Linked DNA regions of Schizosaccharomyces pombe. The gene in region 3 interacts genetically with the main gene of each other region. Each region holds a gene or a part of one and is shown on either strand. Other genes may lie near its edges. The genes, in order: npp1, rga3, sce3 and mmb1.

What was found.
Region 1: mutations in sce3 (region 3) and npp1 together harm fitness more than expected from each alone (negative genetic interaction), as found in Schizosaccharomyces pombe (one large-scale study listed by BioGRID).
Region 2: mutations in sce3 (region 3) and rga3 together harm fitness more than expected from each alone (negative genetic interaction), as found in Schizosaccharomyces pombe (one large-scale study listed by BioGRID).
Region 4: mutations in sce3 (region 3) and mmb1 together harm fitness more than expected from each alone (negative genetic interaction), as found in Schizosaccharomyces pombe (one large-scale study listed by BioGRID).

The regions. Positions count from the first base shown.
Region 1 is NC_003423.3:1,210,286-1,214,194, forward strand, and holds npp1 (nucleotide pyrophosphatase), read right to left. Parts: upstream 2,107-3,909; 5' UTR 2,068-2,106; coding exon 610-2,067; 3' UTR 506-609; downstream 1-505. Other genes in the region: 2-hydroxyacyl-CoA lyase Hac1, read left to right, coding at 1-341, 393-437; serine/threonine protein kinase Ppk31, read right to left, coding at 2,538-3,909.
Region 2 is NC_003424.3:5,123,002-5,130,696, forward strand, and holds rga3 (Rho-type GTPase-activating protein Rga3), read right to left. Parts: upstream 6,033-7,695; 5' UTR 5,838-6,032; coding exon 2,928-5,837; 3' UTR 2,232-2,927; coding exon of another isoform or gene 1,779-2,231; 3' UTR 1,613-1,778; coding exon of another isoform or gene 1,391-1,612; 3' UTR 327-1,390; downstream 1-326. Other genes in the region: SPOM_SPAC29A4.22 (uncharacterized protein), read left to right, coding at 1,391-1,612; protein mug108, read left to right, coding at 1,779-2,231; RNA polymerase I upstream activation factor complex subunit Rrn5, read right to left, coding at 7,054-7,695. UniProt on the Schizosaccharomyces pombe protein: GTPase-activating protein for Rho-type proteins.
Region 3 is NC_003423.3:1,774,625-1,778,946, forward strand, and holds sce3 (translation initiation factor), read right to left. Parts: upstream 2,346-4,322; 5' UTR 2,274-2,345; coding exon 2,270-2,273; exon of another isoform or gene 2,233-2,269; coding exon 2,222-2,232; exon of another isoform or gene 2,181-2,221; coding exon 2,090-2,180; exon of another isoform or gene 1,926-2,089; coding exon 865-1,925; 3' UTR 545-864; downstream 1-544.
Region 4 is NC_003423.3:2,608,160-2,612,367, forward strand, and holds mmb1 (mitochondrial microtubule binder Mmb1), read right to left. Parts: upstream 2,482-4,208; 5' UTR 2,385-2,481; coding exon 879-2,384; 3' UTR 529-878; downstream 1-528. Other genes in the region: BTB/POZ family ubiquitin-type ligase substrate adaptor Btb2, read right to left, coding at 149-211; SPOM_SPBC25B2.08 (uncharacterized protein), read left to right, coding at 4,050-4,208. UniProt on the Schizosaccharomyces pombe protein: Involved in the cell polarity process and in regulation of microtubule growth. Has a role in meiosis. Involved in microtubule dynamics.

The DNA.
Region 1 (3,909 bases), 560 kb from region 3:
TAGTGGTAGTTGAGGGTGATAGTGCTTTTGGCTTTAGCGCCATGGAACTGGAAACCGCCATACGCAACCAGCTGGATCTTTTGGTAATTGTAATCAATAATAATGGTGTTTACCATGGATTAGATACTGATGCTTATGAAACTTTACGTGATAATCACCAATTACCGACTACTGCCTTAGGCACTAGTATACGTTATGATCAAATTTGCGAAGCATGTGGTGGTAAAGGTTTCTTTGTAAAGAATGAAGAAGATTTGAGAAGTTCCCTCAGGAAAGCATGGCAAACCTCATCTGTATCTCTCATAAATGTTATGGTGGACCCGGAGGCTGCTCGAAAATTGGTAAGTATTAATGGAATGAATTAGGTATAAGAACAAGCTAACAATCACTAGACATTTGCATGGATGAGCAGTACCAAAGTGAAACCAAAGTTATGACCATCATTTAATTAAAAATAGAAGAAGTGATGTTCTTTTACGATTCTTAAAAATCGGAATACAGTTATTGTTGCTATTCAAATAAAGTCGTTTATTAAAAAAAAGTATTAAATATAATCTAAAGGAAATTAAAAATATTAAAAAATATAAAGATAGTGATAAAACAGCAGAATTAAATAAGCTTAGAGTATGCTTGTTCTATGTCCTTCAGCAACCATTCCTTAGTAGAATTACGATTTCTTCTTAAAGGTAAAGCACCTTCATATGTACCATTATTAGGCTGAGCTGGTAAATCTAATATATGCGAAAGAATGCCATAAATTTCGGTGTTCTGGAACGGTGCAAGCTTCTTTCCCTTAAAATTCTTAAAAGAAGATCCTGAAGCGATAAAAAGTGCTCTCATCACTGGAGACAAATTGTCATAACCATGTACACCCAAAGGCTCATACTCCAACTCCGGTGAATGATCCAGCATCGAGACAAGAGACCATCCAACATCCGGGATCATCCAAACGGGAGCTATTCTTTCATTATTTGAGTAATGCCATCGAGAAGGTATATCTTTCTTTGAATAAACATTCCAATTCTCAGCAGAAGGTAATGACGAGCGAGAATAATTAACAAGACTTTCGTAAATGTACTCATCATCTAAATCAGATTCTCCTCTAAAACCTCCTAACGGCCAAGCATCTCTGTGTGCAACGGCAGACAAATTAAACATATTATCCAGCCAGATAAGACGATTATCGGATGTAGGCGCCATTCCATGATCACTTAAAAAAATAATGTTGACATGCTTATCGATATTTCTTTTCTTCAGTCCTTCAATTAGTTCACCAATTACGATATCAACTTCTTGAATTATGATATTCAGTTCAGGCGAATCCGGTCCAAATGCGTGCCCAACCATATCTACATGGGGAGCATAAGCAAGTAATAACTGAGGGCGGTCTTTATCAGGAAGATCCAGCCATTCGAGTATTCTATCTTTCTTTTCTCTTAGAGTCGTATCAAAATTGAAACCATCCGAATAAGTAGGTCTGTAACCATGATTCTCCACTTCATTTCCAGGCCACATATGTACCGCTGATCGAACGTTATTTCGCTCAGCGTTGACCCATATAGGCTCCCCTTTATCCCACCAAGTTGGGTCTTTGTTACATTCAGGCATACTGTTGACAAATTGCTTCCCAGTTACAGGATCAAAAAAGTTGTTACTAACGATTCCATGGCTCTCGGGATATAAACCGGTAACAATAGTATAGTGATTAGGGAAAGTTATACTAGGAAAAGAAGGAATCAAAAAGGGAACATGGACATTACGTTCAGCCAGGCTCAGAAGATTAGGTGTGAACCCACGATATAAGTAATCAGCACGGAATCCATCCAAGGAGATTACGATGACAGTGGACTGAAAAACATTGGTCCCATTGTTGAAGGAACCTCCAACGATAGGAAAAATAATTGCTTTGAAGCAAAATAATTTCACAATTGCCAATATCAGAATTCCTAAAATGCAAATAGCGGCAATTGCTAGTCCCGATCGTTTTGCCCATTGATTCAAATAAGCCTTTCGATCATTTTTCAAAGGCAAATACTCGTTGGACCCAATATTAGCCCAACTAAACATTTCGGCGAATGTTCAAAATCAATGATATAAAGGAGTATTGTTAGGTATATCATATAATCTGTCAAATAATACTTACTTGAATAACGATGCGAAAAATATTGTTAAAATCATTTAACGCTTTCAAAGATATGCGGTAAACACTTTGTTCTAACTTACTTCAATTCGTAAACTATTCAGTCCTCTTAAATGTTCTGTCGTATAGGAAATGTCATCCTTTGAAACGTTTAGTGAAATGAGATAGCTTTTTTTCATATATGAAATTCAACTATTAATAATATTTGGATTCAAGGAGGAAACATCAACTTATGTTAGAAGCATTATTTGGCTAAAGCCTCAGAATAAAAGATTTTGTAGAACAAGTTTATTTGTCTTTTTACTGTTTCTGTATGGAAATATTAATTAACCATTTTTCAACTTATCATGATTCGTTCTGGATAGCGAACATGTTATGTCTATGGTTTTACATGATGTTAAAATAAATGGTAGCGATACTTTTTGTTAGGTCGTTTCTGAATTCGAAATTTCTCTTTATTTCTTTGTTGATTTTTGGGGAAATCGACCTCATCATACATTCGCAAAAGCGTGGCTTTGTTGTTGTAATTAAGGGCCTTTAAGTCTATTCCCTTAAACGCTTTGGTTATTAGTGAAAAAAGATCTTTTCGTTTTTGGTCTGTTAAATTTGTGGTCTCCTCCTCGGACGCAGAGAAAGCAGCTGAGTTTGAGGTTTCAGTACCACTGTCAGCTGGTGTTGCTTTTGGAGGAGGATGAAAAGCAAAAATACCATTTAGAATTAAAGTTGCTGACGTCTGACAATTATTTTTATTAATATTATCCGAACCGCTTATGTTTTTTTCAAAGTACGTCAAATCTTCAACATTTTCTGTTTGTGGAACGAACGGACCTGGCCCACTATTTAAATTATCCCATTTAATGGTTCGAAAAAAAGGATGTTTTTTGATTTCCTGGTATCCATTGCTACCCAGCCGTTTGTTACAGTCTGGATCCATGAGTTTGGTGATTAAGTCTACCGCCTCCTTTGAGCAGCTTTCTTTCACTCTTTTAGTCCAACCAATATCATTTCTCTCTATGCGAGCCCATATTGCTTTTACAGTATTTGCTTCAAATGGTCGCGTGCCAGTCAACATTTCGAATATCACACAACCCATCGCCCATATATCGCCCATCTGAGTATCAACGCCCATTAAAATTTCTGGAGCCATATAATTTGGCGTCCCTGAAATATCTTTTTTGATGAATGTCCGGTTTTCCTTTTTCTCTAACTGATTCATTAACATGTGTATTGCTGTTTCATCCATGTTATTGATATCAAAGTCAAGTAAATGCTGGACCGAGTCATTGGCATAATCACTATTTTGCTGTGGACTCTCCGCTTTCTCAAGCTCATCAATATTCCCGCGGTAATTTCGAACATATCTTACAAATTCGAATTTTTTAGGTTGAAGCTGCTCATACAAATTTCCATGTTTCTGTTCAAATGACATCCTCTTAGTAAGCTTATAAACCTCTTTTTTTTCCTCTACGTTTTCACTCAGTCCGAAGTCTGTAAGCCGAATATGTCCTGTTTCGTCAACCAACATGTTGGCAGGCTTTATGTCGTGATGGATGATTCCATCCTGATGCAAAAGCTCGATAGCATTTAGTAATTCAGCTGCGTACTGGCAAACCCATTGCTCTGGTAACGGTCCTAATTTTTGAATAAGTGTTTCACAATCTCCTCCATTAAAATAATCCATTACAAGGCATAGGTAGTCCCCAGAATCAAATGCATAATATAATTTCACTGTGTTTGGTCCATATCTTTGGATATGCATGTTACGCTTT
Region 2 (7,695 bases), on a different chromosome or scaffold from region 3:
CAGTGAGCTCATCCACAGTGAATAAAAAGAAAGTCCAAATAAAGGTTATTTTCGTTATAATACAAAGATGTCGTAAAGAACGACGATCAAAGAAAAACAAGTGAGCAAAAAGGAAACTCTAAAAAAAAGAGAGAGAGAGAGAGAGAAACTCTCCGAGTATGTGTGTGTGTATGTTTGAGTCTCTTTTGTGTATGCGAGAAGAGAAAGACAGCAGGAAAATAAAGAAGAAATAGAAATAGAAATAAAAAGTCAAAACTATTTATTGTAGCTCAATGAAAGCCAGTATCTCACGCTGACCAAAAAAAAAATGAAAAGAGAAAGAGAGCAGAAAAAAAAAAAAAAAAGTTATTGAAAACAAGAAACAATCAAAACCATCTATTTCAAGATGACATGTATGACAAAGAACGCTAGTCAAAAAAAAGGCAATTCATACAAAGAAATAAAAAAAAAAAGAGAGAGAGAAAACAAAGGACTCCTATAATCATAAAGCAAGATTACCAACAATGGACAGAGATGGATAAAGAAAACCAATGGTGGAACAAAGACAAAAAAAAAAGAAAAAGTGGAACAAAACAAAATGCGAATCAAAGAAATTGAACAGAAAATTGAGCAAAAAAAACTTTAGTTCTGAGACAAACAAACAAAAATTTTCATCTTCTTTAACTTTTTCTTTCTTTTTTTTTTCTTTTTTCTTTTATGTTTTTATTTCTTCCATCCATTATTGATGTCTCGTTTGAATCCCTTTCTTTCACCCACCCCTCTCTTCCTGCAGTCTTTTTCGTCATGCCATTACCCCATCTTTTCAGGTAGCATCGACTCAGCCTTGTGACTCCAAGTGTGGGGAAGCGAAGGCGGAGAAAAAAGGGATTAGGAAGGGTGTCGATCATGACGCAATGCCATAACATCTCTGATGCACAACACCGTATTATAGACTGACTAAGCTTGCCGCGGAAATCAATTAATTGTCAAGAAGGCAGAAAAAAGAAAGAAAGAATATAAAACAACAACATAAAGCAAAAATAGAAAAGACATAAAAAAAAGACTGACCCTCTAAAGTCTTGTTTCCTTTTTGTTTTTCTCCTGGACAATTAAAACGACGCTTGTTTTCCGTGCCATACTTGAGACTGCGATACCACGGGATGAACAGCCTCTTCTAAACCAACCTGCCATTTTCTCTTCTTTTCCTTCATCCATCCATCAATCATACTTCGTCCTGCTTACTTGTGTGCTCCATTGCATTATCACCAAACCCTCCTCCTCCTCTTGGCCTGTTTCGTAAACCCACTTAACGGATCTCGCCGAGGTACACACTCACGGAAATATGCTATATGGGTGGTGGAAGTGAAGAGGTTGGCGCCACGATTGCAGTGGATGACGATGCTGGATAACAATGGAGTTGCGGGTGAAAGGACGAGTAAGGCACACTTACATTCAATGTAGCAACCCAATACGTATGACATTTGGCCACAGCAAGGAGATAAATAGAAGGTTGGGCACTAAGAGTGAAAATTCCATTCCCAAAATACAGTACATATATATTTCATCCTTCGTAATAACAAATACCGAATCGTATTCATATCCACCCTTATTGATCATCAGCGAGTCAAGCTAAATTACCCACCCACTGACAATCTAACAACAACAATAACAAAACAAACAATAACCAATTGAGTTGAAAATTGTTATTGACAGTCCAATCCAATCCAAATCCAAATCAATTTGAAATTGAATTTCATCCAATACTAATTGACTAATCGAATTTCTTCAAATCCACCGCAATGGCAAATCGTTTTACTTCTAGTGATCAAACTCAAGAAACCCATGGTCATCATGTTGACAAACACTCCTTCTCCGGTAGACAACGCCATCCTTCGATGGGCGTTCATTCATTCAACGAATACATGAATGAATATCCAGAGGCCGGACCTTTGGTCCAGGAAGAGGAGGATGACATGGAGAGCTCCAGCTACCATGCCACTCAGGAAGATATCGGCGACGATGACTCCAGGTCCGAGTCTACTCGCAACCGTTCCAGTCAACATACTGGCCGTGTTAATTTCTCGTCTCTTGGCGGTCTTGGCAGCATCTTTGGAGGAAAGAAATCACGCTCCAAGAGCGCTAATGGAACACAAAAGAAAAATGCAAACAATAACGAGGAACAACTTGATGAGGAAGAGCAAAACGATCCTTATCTTGATAGGGATATAAGCCTTTTAGGTAGTACTATTTGATTGCTTTTGTTTTTTTTTTCTTACTCCCTTGTAATTTTTATTTTTTGATTAGTCATACCCTGACTGACAATGTTGCAGATTACATTTAATTATGCCATCCATCCCCTTTCACGTTCACTGCCATTCATCCCTCACCATGTTCCCCATACCATTCTTTGAGATTTCGAGACATGATGGCACGACCGTAGTGTTTGTGTATGTATGTGTCTTTGATGAGTTGTTTATGTTGTGTTTATGTTCAAGTTATGAGAAACGAAATACTCGAACCAAATCGAGTTGAGTTCTGTTTAGTATCGTTAAAAAGAGTTTGTTTTCTTTTTTTTTTATCAAATTAGCATTATATTTTCCTTATTTTGCATCTCGCAATGCTTAATGGCAAATATCTTTATACAATCTCCATTTGCGTGCGTATTTATTTGTATCTGATGAGCGTGCGTGTGCTTGCCTGCTTGTCATAATGTACATCCTGTATTACCCAGTTTGAATAGTTCAGTCGTAAATGTAAGAGTGTTATGCTAATATCTTTGTTTTCCTTTTTTCATTAAAAAAAAGAGGTGTAAAAAAAGTCTCATTATTTCTTCGAAAAGTATTCCTTATTGAAGTTTGGAACACAAGTGGTTATTATTATCGTAAAGTTCCTTCTTCCCTAGAAAAATACAAGTTCCCCGATATTTTAATCATTATTCATAAAACAAGCTACAGATTATGAAGAATCTTATCCACGTTATCAAGCATAAACTGAAGAGCCGTACTCTTTTTGGTAGCATGCTGTAAATCAAACCGATTCACCTTATCTCGCATTAAAGTAGGTGCAAATACTGTAGAGACATTTTTCGAGTTCATCAAATTTTTCTCCGCGTGCTTGCATACACGACCCAAATGTGCAATCAAAAATCGAAATACGCTCAAATGTGCAGGATGAAGCGTTTTCATTACTTCCACTACCCGTTCAATTTTTTCCTCTTCCTTTTCGATTTTTTCCGCTTCCAACAACTCCTCGTATTGAGTGCCAGGTATAACTGGTTCCGGTAAGCGATGCAAATATGTTTTCAAAACCGACGTACAGGCAAACAAGTCAGAAGTCAAATGCTCCATTCGGATAGACCCGTTTTCAAATTCGTCGACTAACACTCGGACCTGAGAAGCACTGCCAGATATCCTATAAATACCTTCAACCTCCAATCCATGCGCATCCACGCAAGAAACGCACATAGCAATTACTTGAGGCAAAACCGACCCTTCAATTTTCAATTGATTTTCTAACGATCGTCCAAACATCGTTGGTGAAGGCCCAGGAGGAGGCATCCTCGTTGGCATTTCCGGCATCCATTTACTATTTTCACTTACAGTTTCACTCATTGTTTTCTCATGCTCCGACTCTGCAAACAGCCTTTTTAAACACCGCGAATGGCATGAAATTGAGCAATGAAAGCAGCGGAGTTCAGATCCCCATACGCTCTCCGAGCATATATAACACCTTGAGGGCTTGAATATGGCATTAACATGAAACACATGGTCACATTGAGTACGATCTTCATTTCCTACTACAGGATCGGCAGACTTTGATTTAGTATGCATTGATTTGAACGGGACTTTACGGTTTACATCTCTTGGTTGCAAATGCATACTTCCCTTTTTTCCCTTAATGTCAATTCTCGTAGTCACATTCAAATTTGGTGACAACGGACCAGGTCGACCTGATGACTGCCCAGAGTTGCTACTCACGGCAGTAAGTGGATTAATACTGCTGGTTGTATTTTTGGAAGATGTGGTAATAGTATGCTCCAAATTGGATTGGTTTTCAGGAGGTACTCTATGCTGAATTTGTTTTACCAAATTGTTGTTTAAGTCGGCCAACTCGAGATTTTTGGTATTTAGGTGTACAGATGCTTCAAGCGATTCATTTAAAATTTTTTGTACATTATTGTAATCGTCAAGCAGCTCATTTCTCCTTTCCAAAAGATTGTTTATTTCAGTGCCGTAACTCTCACGAAGCATTGCCATGTAAGCATTGGCGGCAGCCACCAAATCCTGATGTTTCGGATCTTTCAGCGTGGGATCATCTGTCACATCAGCAAACGAAAAAAACTTTTCACAAATTTCAAGTTTAGCCGAACGAACAGTATCCTTATCTTCCGTACGAATAAACTTAGAGTTGTCAAACGTAGAACTTGAGAGCCTTTCGGACAATTTTTTGGTAAGAGCAGTAAGATTTTCCAACTGTTCACGCAATTCTTCAACATCCGAATCTCGCTCTGATTGTGCTGGAGTTGAAGAATGATCGTTTGTCGGTAAATGGTACTCTCCATTAGATCCCAGCGAAGGAACGAGTGTTTGCTGAGAAGTCTCAGAAAGAGAATGCGAATGCCGAAAACTTTTATGGCCCCCGCCATTTGGTTTGGGAGAAAGAACCTGAGGCGGTGAAAGTAGCTGCGCAAAAGATGAAAGGTCAGATGGCTGAGAAGAGGTTTTTTTATGGGTTTGGACATTCGGTGAGCGGGTTCTCGGTGAATGCGTATCACTCGACCTGTAAGAGGGAGAAAAAGGCCGAAAGGGAGAGGTGGCATTGTGAAGAGAACGCATATGTCCATTCATGACAATTGGCTCTGCTCGGTCAGTCAATGACATGGTTTTATAAGGAGAAGCAGAGCCAGCAAAGTCGTCCAGGGCTTCCTCATTAATTGTGGGTTTTAAGCTGTCCGAGGAAGAGCTATCGTTAACAGGAGTAAAAGATTGTTTGTGAAACGTATGGAATCGATTCTTCCAAGTATTTTTGCTTAACGGAAATGTGGCTGTAGGAGACTCAATTTGTTGCTGCTTGTTAACTTTTTGTAACGGAGATATAGAAGGTGAAATAGGAAAGAAAGAATCGTCATACTTCATCGGCGATTCAAAACTCGTAAACGAGGAAAAACTTCGATTTTTGGCACTAGGCAGCAGCGAATCTGCAGAATTAGACGCAAGATTACTATCCTGTCCATCGTTCGGCACATTACCCCCTTCTGCCTGACTCATGTTAGTCGGTGTTTCGCTAACTAAGCGGTCTCTGCTTCCACCAAAAGGTGATAATGGTGGCTTTTGAGGAGACATAATTTCAATGCTTAAAGACTTATTAGATTCCACTGAAGACTTTGTCTCTGTGGGCTTAATCGTGACATCAACCTCAAAATTGTGATAATCAGCGCTCTCGTCTGAAGACCTGGAAGGGTGACGGACTTGTTTACAATCATTACAAAATATAGTCCTATTATCTCTTTTAAAGTTAGAGTCAATTATTTGCTTTCGGCAATCATGGCAACGAAAACACTCTCTGTGATAGGAGTCGTAGCCTGACATTAGGGCATAGTCCTTGATCCTCATACGACACGCTGTACAGGTATGGGCGCAAGAGCTACACACCGGTCGTCCATCAGAGGTTTGCACCAGCATTTGATCACTGTGCTCCAATCCTTTATCGCACTTCGTACAGCAGAAGCAATCCTTATGCCACATATGACCCCCAAACGAAATAGGTGTCTCTCTACGTTGAAATGCCTGTCCGCAGCGAAAGCATACTGTGCTTCCCTTGCTTGATGGAGATTTGGAAATACTTTTTCGAAATATCATCTTATCGTATATATGCTCTTCTTATTTCCTGCTAAACGTTATGAACTTCAATCTAGCGTCATGAATTTGGCTTTGTTGATTTTTATTTTCACAACGATTCCTTTGGGTACCTATTTTCATTCCTCAGCTTCCCATCAAGTAAATGAAAATATTCCCAATTTTATGATTGAAGTTCGAAACAATTGGTAAATGGCTAAGGAATAATTATTACTGCAGTTGTTGGCATCATTGCCCAGTGGAGCGGTGAGAACGGCAGTAGCGAGTCGTTCACTCTAATCCCTTAAAATTTGCATGCGTCGTACACATGGCACTATGGTCTTTGGCTTGCCTTGCCCTAGCCTAGCGAAACACTATGGAAATTATCGCCGTGTTCTACGATATGGTGCGTAAAATTGCCAAAAGTCACATGGTTTATTACGGGAGTTTAGACGAAACGGGTGTTATGAATAGCTATTAAATACGATTATAATATTACAGATAATTAATTTTAATGGGTTTGGCAGCGTTTCCGCTCTCTAGGCTTTTCTTTCCACTCAAAAATGGTGATATTTGTGAAAAGGGAAATTGCCGAAATTAGAAGGAAAAAGGAAAATGAACTGTTTTTCTGGCTTAAATAGCTTTACCTTTAGAAAAAACCCGCTAAAAAATGGTTAAAGATATATACATTCCTGATCAAAAAACACAGAGGACAAAAAAAAAGAAAAAATTTCGGTAGCAACAGGAGTAAACAGAAGGAGAGATGCTTTCTAGAGAAAAAAATTTTGTAGACGTTTGTAGCGTGAACGGTCGGATCGTCAAATAAAGGGACAAGAGAAAATGCTCGTTTCCAAAAAGTGTAGAATTTATAAAATGTGTATCTCAAATAGCGGGGTCGCTATAATTGATTAAGTAACTATTGCTTTTAAGAAGGAAGTAAAGGCTCCTAAAAAAAATTTTTATAGTTGTGGTGCGAATATTGGGACAATTATACGGAAGAAAGCAATCAGTTTTTAACAAAAAAAGTTTCAGAATATTGTGAACACTGGGACTCATCATTATAAATGGCAATAACTGATTGCTATAAAGAGGAAGTATTAAATTTTCTTTCTAGGAAAAAACAAACTTGGCAGAAAATGACGATAAAAAGAAAGGATTGCTATCCAACACAGAGGCAGCGCTAAAAAACAATTTATGTTTTTGTAAAGGCTTCAAGACTGTAGTTCGAAAATGAAGACATCTATTTTAAAGGGAGTGACAACTCCCAAGAAGAGACAGGTTTTGCAAGTTTCCTTTCAGGATCTTCTGTACTATTTGGAAGATTAGACAAATCATAGGATATTAACCCTACATATCCGCTTTCAAGTTCAGATACGACTTCAGCTGCACCCGGGGCATGGGAAACAACTGGATCCTTGTAATAATAACATATAGGTTGAACTTCATCATCACTATCGGAATGTTCGTCAATGTTGTGCAAGCTCTTGGAAGTTATTTTAAGAGTCGTAAACACGTCGGAACCTTTTAACTTGTCTTTCATTCGCTTTTGAGCCAGCAAATTACTAAGTGGTATAGTTTCAAAAAGAGCGTCCTCTGTCGACATCTCATCGGTTAAATGCAGCACATATTTCCAAACAAAGCTTTCGTAGTTTTTGGATTGAATCATGTCGTAGGCTTCGACGCTGTCATCAATTTCCACAAGACTTTCTTCTGCGACACTTTCATCCATGAACATTTGAGCATTATCAGGATACTCAGCCTGATTAACAGATTTCTTAAAACCATTGATGCTAGTCTCATCGGCGGGTACAGAATCTACCTTGCGCTTTACATCATGTTCTCCAAGGTTACCATCGCTTTCATCTGTCGAATGTTCCTTAGA
Region 3 (4,322 bases):
GAGAGTGTAAGGATTCGCAAAATCCATTAATGTTGTAATTTGAAGCAACTTTCTCGTTTGTGTCTTCATTAATTACACCAAGGCTTTCTAGGTTAAGCTGAAAGAAAAGCTAATTTTTTCAACTGACTACTTAAGCAGTTTTGACTTTACCAATTCGACTTTCATTATTACAACTTATGCTGTACATTCTTTTTTTTAATATCTATAATATTAAATATTTATGAGATCAAGCGAAGGCCCCTTAACTCAGTTGGTAGAGTGTGAGATTCCAAATCTCAAAGTCAAGTGTTCAAGTCACTTAGGGGTCATATTTTTTATAAGTTTTTATCCTGTGTTCAAAGGCATAGCAAGTTTTAAGAACACATTTGTCATAAAGATTTAACAATATAACTCTCATATCCGTTGAAATAGCTGGTTCACTTCATACGATAGTATTGACTTTTAATGACCATTAATCTTTGCTAAGACGGCAAAGTAATATATACTACTATTAATTACATGACAAAAAACAAACATACATCGACATATAAGTGCAAAACAAATTTTACTATAAATTTAACCTAAAACGACCAAGGCACCATTATAAGAATAAAATCAACGAAAAGTATGCTTAGTCAACCCGCTTTTTTCTATATGCAATTGAAACAGATGCAAAGCCGATGGGCGGAACCAGAAAATATCAAAACAGAAACAAACAAGAGATCTTAAAATATAAGTTAGCAGCTAATCTCTCGATTTAATGGAAAAGTGTATGTGTTTATTTATACCTGTTTTATTATATAGAGAACCCCAAAACAACGATATTAACATTACTTCCATATTTATGTCAAAGCGAAATAACATAAAATTGACATTTTTTAAGGTTTAGTGTTTACGGCCTTTGCCAATCTTCGTCCAACCCTCTTCTTCTTCTGCTTCGCCAGCGTTTGTGGCAGGAGCATCCTCAGTGGCAGGAGTCTTAGTCGCAGCGACCTCCGAATCAGTTTCGGAACTCTTTTTCTCACCGTCTCCTAAACGGATATCTGATACTTTCTCAGCAATAGCATCTGTTTTATCGGTCTTTTCAGCCTTATCAGCGGAAGGCTTTCTAGAAGTAGAACGCTCACGGTTAGCATTGTCCTCGCGACGGAAGCTCTGAGTACGCTTGGCAAGTTTTTCCTCAACACGTTGAAGCACGGATGTATTGTCTACGGGCTTGGCACCACCGAAAGGATCTCTTTTAGGCTTGGAAGATGTAGTAGTGGTAGCAGAGGGAGTAGCTTCGGTGTTGACGTTGGAGGAGGAACGAGGTTTTAAGTTAAGACGAGGGCGCTCAGAGGATTCACGTGGAGGAAGGGGTCCACGACGAACCCATTCACGTGGCTCTTCACGAACACGATCGGAAGGATCACGAGCAGGATCACGGAAACGACCACTGTTGGTACGTCTCTTGCCAAACGGAGATTCAGCAGGTTCAGCAGGAGGAAGAGGTCCACGACGAACCCAGTCACCAGTAGAGCGTTCTTCACGGGCAAATGAACGACGAGGCTCTGCAACAGTGATGCGGACTGGACGTCCCATCAAATCCTCACCGGATAAGGCTAAAGCGGCGCTCAAGGTATCAGCGGTCTCAAATTCAACATATCCAAAGCCACGAGAGCGTTCAGTGAGAGGGTCAATGACGAGGCGAATGCTAGTGACACCTTCGCCGAAAAAGTCGCCCAAATCGTTTTCTGTTAAGTCAAAACTCAAGTTTCCAACATGAGCTGTAAAAGGGGGTTCAGAAGGGATGGGAATGGCATCACGTTGGTAACCACTTCCCATTCCACCCTCGCGACGGCTTTCGGGAGGACTTCTAACTGACTCAAACGTGGAAGAAGGAGCATTGTATCCGGCGTCAGCAGAGCTAGGAGTAGCACGATACGTAGATGTGGTGCGGTCTTGGGCTAATAGATAAATTGAGTTAGCTAAGCAATTTCAAAAGATTAAATAGAAAAATGATGGAGCCCAAAAATGAGAGCCGAAAATTAATAGAAATTTTCGGATTCCTAAAAAACACCCCACTCCAATTCAATCCAAAATTTTCCATTATAAAAAACAAAATACTTACGCAAAGCTGGCAAATCATCAATATCATCAGCCCAGTTAGTCGAACCAAACGACTCGTCACCCAAAAAGGCGTTCAAACTCATTTTCGTACTCTGATATCGTTCAGCAAACATGCCTAATTACCTAAACAAACCTTTTTCGGACCTATTATTAATAACTCATGATCAAAAACACAACTTGCCCATTATGAAATATTTTCTTTTAGATCTTCACTTTTTACTAACAAGATCGTTTTCTTCGTCGTTCTCGACAGATTTAATATTTGCGATTCTTGGCGCGCTGGTCCACAAGAGCGTAGCCCAGTGATGCCGTGACTGCTCAATAGTAGAACGACTGAAGCATTCCCGCCTGCTGTATTTGCTAAGGCGAGAAAAAGGGAGAATTGGGAGACGTCTCTATTCCTCACAGTCATGGATAATGAGGATTAAATCATTTCGGTAAATCAAGCATGGAGGAATTTTTGTGAATGTGAGCATTATAATCGCATAACGATAAGTAGCGTGTTGAGCAAAGAGGATTGGATGGAAGTAGTTTTTTTATTGTAAATAAATCAATGGAAAATTGGATATGGAACCATTGTAGCGTTTGCAATTTGATGGAAAGTCTTTTTTTTGGGATTATATACTTGTGATAGGAGAAAATGATTTTCCTTTTTTTTTTTTGAAAGAAGTCCGTATTTGATGTCAGCTTTCACAAATCTAATAATTCCTATAAAATAATAGTTTAAAAAAAAGTTCTTGAAGTTCAATCAGAAAACAGAGATTTGATTTTGCGATAAACCAAAAGCAAAGATTAAAATTGGCTTTACGATTTGTTCAACCATGGTTTGACATTGAAGTAAATCGCTATTGAAAAAACGTATCATTGATAAATGATAAATGATTTATTATTGAGCTCGATCAACAAAAAACGAGAACGTTATAGTCTCAAGGGATGAATGATGATCAGTTTTGTACACCATTGAATTTGTTTTTGAGAGTAATAAACTTAAACTTCTCAGCGAACTGGACTGTTTGGACAGTGTTTAGACTTCATTTTTTGCAGATTCCTTTTCTAATATGGAATTATAACAAAACAAAAACACATTGGCTTAATTATAGGGGAAAGGAAAAGGAAAAGGACGCGTGCTTGCACAGAAATGAATCGATGTTTTGGATACAAACGTAAACAAGACAATAAGGTGGTGAAGCAAAATTGCAAGGAATTTTTCTAATCTAAATACGGCGATTTTGAAATTCATTTCTATTCAGCTTATCATCCTTTTTTCATTCACTGACACAGTATTATCTTTTAACGTTGTATGACGAGATGCATTAGTCTATGCTTAACAAGTTGTGTAATATGAGAGACAAGACAAGAAGAATTGGGAATTCCAGAATATGTGCAATTGATAATATCTACACGATTTTTAAAAGATATATCAAGTTACGAAAGTTGATCCATTGTTGGTACATTTTAAGTTCCCGCATTAGAGTTAAAGGGCCGCCGCTTCTGCCAATGTTTATCATCAAAGGCTGGTTGGGATAGTAAGAGAAAATGAGGATGATACAGTTTTCAATTGATATTCGGATGTTTATTATTTTATTATTATTTTTTTAGACAATTGTCTTTGATCTATATTCAATGTGAGCTGAGAGCTGAGTGGAGAACGAAAAATTTCTGAAACAATAAAAAATCCATTAAAATATATTAAAATCATAATAATGTTAGAAAAAAAAAATCGAAAAAATTAATCAAAGGGTTTCATTGACTTGGAGCAAAGATAAAGGAAGAATTTGAAAAGAAAGTAAAATCTAATAAAAGAAACGTGTGAATTTGAAATTAAAATGGAATGGTCTTTCTTTTTTTCTTGGTGGGACGCAGTCATTTATTTAATTACCGACCAGCCCTTTTTAACAATTAGATAACAAAGAAAACCGATTTATTTCATTTTATATTTTTTATGTCACTTGTTTTTTTGTTCAAATTCACTCTTCTTATGATTTCTTTCTTCTCAAGGATTCTTTATGTTCATTTTCTTTTATTTACAAAGAAGCATCCGCATAAAGAGGTATTGTTTACAACAAACAAATGGTTGCCATCCAGGTTGCGAACCAATCTAAAAATTTCATTCAATTCCTTTATGCCATTTCTAAATTCAATTATATATTTTAAAAAGGAATTTATAATTTAAAAGATTCTATAAAAATCGTGGCTTTGAAGGATTTCCCAACATGCTGGTTTCATTAGCCCTA
Region 4 (4,208 bases), 830 kb from region 3:
TTGTTTGGAAATCGTTAAACAAAACATGAACGATTTAACAATAAATCCAAAATAATTAACTACGCAAACAACCATTAATTTGAGAGTAAAGTTCATACAAGAACTGAGACTCAAGGTACGCAGAAGTTCAAATAGCAAAAATACTTACTGAAGATACCGGTTTCATTATAGAGGGCTCTTGAGAAATTTCCGTTGAGCTGTTCATTGACATGATTGTATTAAAGCCACATCCGTTAGGAGTAATAAAAAGAAATCAGAATGAAACTCGTCAGTAATATTTAAAAAAAAGGTACTAAAATATTGTTTTGGTTTCCTAAGGAAAGCGCACTGGAGTAGCTCGATATTCTTGCAGTTATGAATCGTAACGTAATTGCGCTATCCAAAATATACCGTACAAGTTGCACAAATTAACCCTTCTATTTACTTAATTTTTTGCTAAATGAATTAGTAATGCAGCAATCTCATTTACTTCATAATGTCTTCAATTACTTACTGCTGATAGTTGATAGAGCACGAAAACAATGCCAGTTTGTTAATGTTAATTTATTACATATCGGTTGTATGCTGATGTTGCTGCATGCTGAATTTTAACACAGAGCGCATCCCTCTAAACTTCTCGACTATCATCAAGTCAGTCGTGAAGCTTTCAACTGAATAAACCTATGCAACATAATTTCAGCTTAAAAGCTATTAATTAGCTGATCTTAAGTAATACAAAGTAATATATCAAATCGTAACATCCAATTCTTCCCGTATGGTTTGTCTTATTTTTAATAATAATATCCTTATGATAAAACATCTACATGTGATATAAATTATGCAGAATAATAAGTGTAAATGGAACAGAAGCCATCAAATTACAGCAGCTCACTCAACTTTTATATCATTCTGTTAAGGTCCAAAGGTGACGAATGAGAAGAGTGATTAGTATCGTTAATTTCGGAAGTTTGGTTTTGAAGATAAGAAGGATCATGATGAACGACTGTCGAAGACTCTACCAAAGTAGGCGAATTCTGAATTTCTTTGGTTGTAGCCAATGTTTTAGTGGAAAAGGATGAAGAAGTTAGTGAATGGGCATGCCTGTGTAAAATTGAACTGCTTGGTCTCTCATGAATTGTTGCACGCGAGCGAGATGGAGCCAAAATGCGCAAGTTTGAAGGAGGGCGTTGATTTATTGACGAAGGAGGGCGACGGTTGATTGATGAAGAAGGACGAACGATATTAGCCGCTTTAGTACGAACATTGCCTGTAGTTGTCCTCGAAGAGAGAGTGGATTGAATGCGAGAAGGTGAACGAACACCTAAAGAAGTACCTGGACGAACGATTTTAGCTGATGAATTTTTCACATTAACTTCTCTCTGTTCTAATCTTGAGGGAGTACGCGCCTGCGCGTTACGTGAAACAGGTCGTACAGCTAATGAAGAAGCTACCCGAACAGTTGAGTTAGAAGTGGCAGAGACGTTGGGTCTTTGAGTATTGGACGCAGAGTTTTCTCTGAAGATTCTGGATCCCGGTCGGACAGTCTGAGCTGCACTTACAGGACGCACGATCTTGGTCGATGCGTTGACTTTTACTTTGGAAGGACTAGTAGAATTCTTTGAGATACTTCCGGAAGCATTTGTTACGTTAACTCTAGATAATGGACGGGTGGTGGAAGTCCTTGTGGGTGGACGAACGACAGAAGAATTTCCGAGAGAACGAACAGAAATTCGAGGAGAAGCTGAAGGCTTGTCGTTAGAGCCAGGAGATTTGACGACGGGGCTATCATCCGACTTTGCATTGAAGCCGACCTTTGGTGAGCGCACATTCGGGCCATTACCAAGGCGTGATGGTGAACGAACTGCCATTGAAGATTTCGCTCTCGGAATAGCAGCAATTCTAGCATTTGAGGACATTCGGGCGATAGACGACGTTGAAGGTTTTGTAATAGTAGCGACATGTTTAGAGGTCGTTACAGAAGGAGATTCCTTGGAAGAAATTGAATTCTCATGTAGTGATGCCTCTTTGGGAATGCGAGGTGCGTTATTTGATAACCTGGCCAAACTAGTCGAGGGTCGAAGACGTTGAGAGGGATTACGAATATTCCGAGCTTTGGCTCGTACATTATTAGTCTTTGAAGTAGGATTAGATATTTGGGTATTTCCTAATGACTGGCCTTGGGTAACCCGAGATTGAGAGGTAGGAACTGATGGTGAAGAAATGTTTACTTGCTGTAAAGAGGCACTTAATTTATCAATAGCCGAGGATTCCTCAGTATCCATTACAGAGTTCTCACCTCCATTATGAAGTTGTGAGGTGGTAGAATCCGTGAAAATCGACGTAGAATGCAGTTCCTTGAGAATATTCGATGTTTGCATTTGTAGTTGCTCCAGTCTTTGAAGCATATTAGACTCGGCCTCTGCCAAAGGCTCTTGGCTTGGTGAACCCGGCATTGGCAGAATAAAATTGAATAAGACTCGCAATCAACAACCCTGAATGCACAAAAGAGAAAGCCAAATACACTACACCGTTAGCTGGTATCGCCCAACACTAGGTAGCAATAACAAACTACGTCCTATATTGTTAGTGTATATATAACGAATTCTATTAATCCCCGTAAAACTCTTGCTACCTGATGCAAACAAATAAAATTACCTTCATAAGTGCTGCACTGTTTACATATTTTCTATCCAGCTGACCGATTCTTTTCAATATATGTATTCATTTGACCATAATAATTATCGTTAAATTGTGATTGCTATGAATATACTTTTCCGTTCCCTCCCAGATTTCTGTTCCCGTTGTTTTTCCAAAGCAAATCATTGATGGGAGAGAGCAATGTGAAAATTAAGATGCAAGTGTACAATGAGAATAACATGTACACATTGAGGAAACCCGCTATAACTCTTCTTCCACAGCATCATACCGATTCTACAAATCTCCCGTAGTGGTAAGTACTACGAAAAATGTTATAGTAGAAATATCATTTGAAGAGTTTGTTACCAACTTTTACGACTTTGGTATGTCGTTATTTGAATTAATAAAAGTGATAATGCTTTGTGTGCATTTTTGGGCAACTATCTAGTTTATTTGTTCATTCGGTTCATTCGTCTCCTATGTACCGAGGGAATGTCAAGGAGAGTGTTACTCCCAGTCACTGCTCAAGGTGTGCAAGTTACCTTCGGTTCCTTATTAAATTGACATCAAAGACGGTTTGCAAATGTTACCAGATATGGACGTATATATACATAGAATACCCCAATTAAGACTTTGAAATTCCGTCTTTCACTTTTTAGTCTATATCTATTGTTCAGACTAAACGCAGGCTTAACGCCTTGTCCTACTCCCTTCGCTTCATCTTGTGCTACTCTATTGATGAGTATTTATTAATTTTTCCGCTTTCTTTTGATTAATTCATTCAGCGGTTTGTTTTTGTTTTTCCATCCTTTGTTGTCTTTCATATCGTTTTATTTCGTTCCTTTTTTTTTAACTATCTCAATTGGGATAAGCTTTATTTTTCGTAATTGTAATAAGCTCTAAGAAAACGTTCCCTACTGTTTTACTTTTTTTTATTACTGTTCACTTTCTATTTCCTACTCACGGTTCTCTTGCTTTGCTTCCTTCGATAAAACTAAGCAAGTTTGATCCTTTATTTATTCAATTGTCGGCTTCTAAAACTTCGTCTGTTCGCATAATTTCATATCTCGTTAGGGTAACTTCTTTCGGACGGAACACTAAAGATTTCGTTTACTGATTATTTTCTGTTTACAGTCTGGACTTTATACCCATTTCTAAATAAATTAAACACCCGAAATATCACTACAACCCTATATCCCATTAATCCCTTGGCTATTTGGATTATCAAGCTTATTTATTATTCTCAGGTTTCTCTAATTTTGTGCATAATTCAAGTTTGAAAACATTTCGTGTAATTCAAAAAAAAAGTTTCCCTTTGTTACATATTTGTCGAATTATTTTCTCATTAAAACCTTTAATCCCATCACTTCACCTTTGATTGTGATTTGTTTCCATTTTACTTTTATTTTCTCTTTTTCTTAAAATTTATTACCATGCTTCCACATCAAAATTCCAGTTATACCCGTCAAGGCACTAATGATGCGCAGGCAAATGATATGCGCAGTCCATCGCAACTTCCTACTTCTGTCAACATTGAAGATCCCTCTAAGTTATGTATATCGAGTGAAAAATTAAATACCCCTATGCATAAT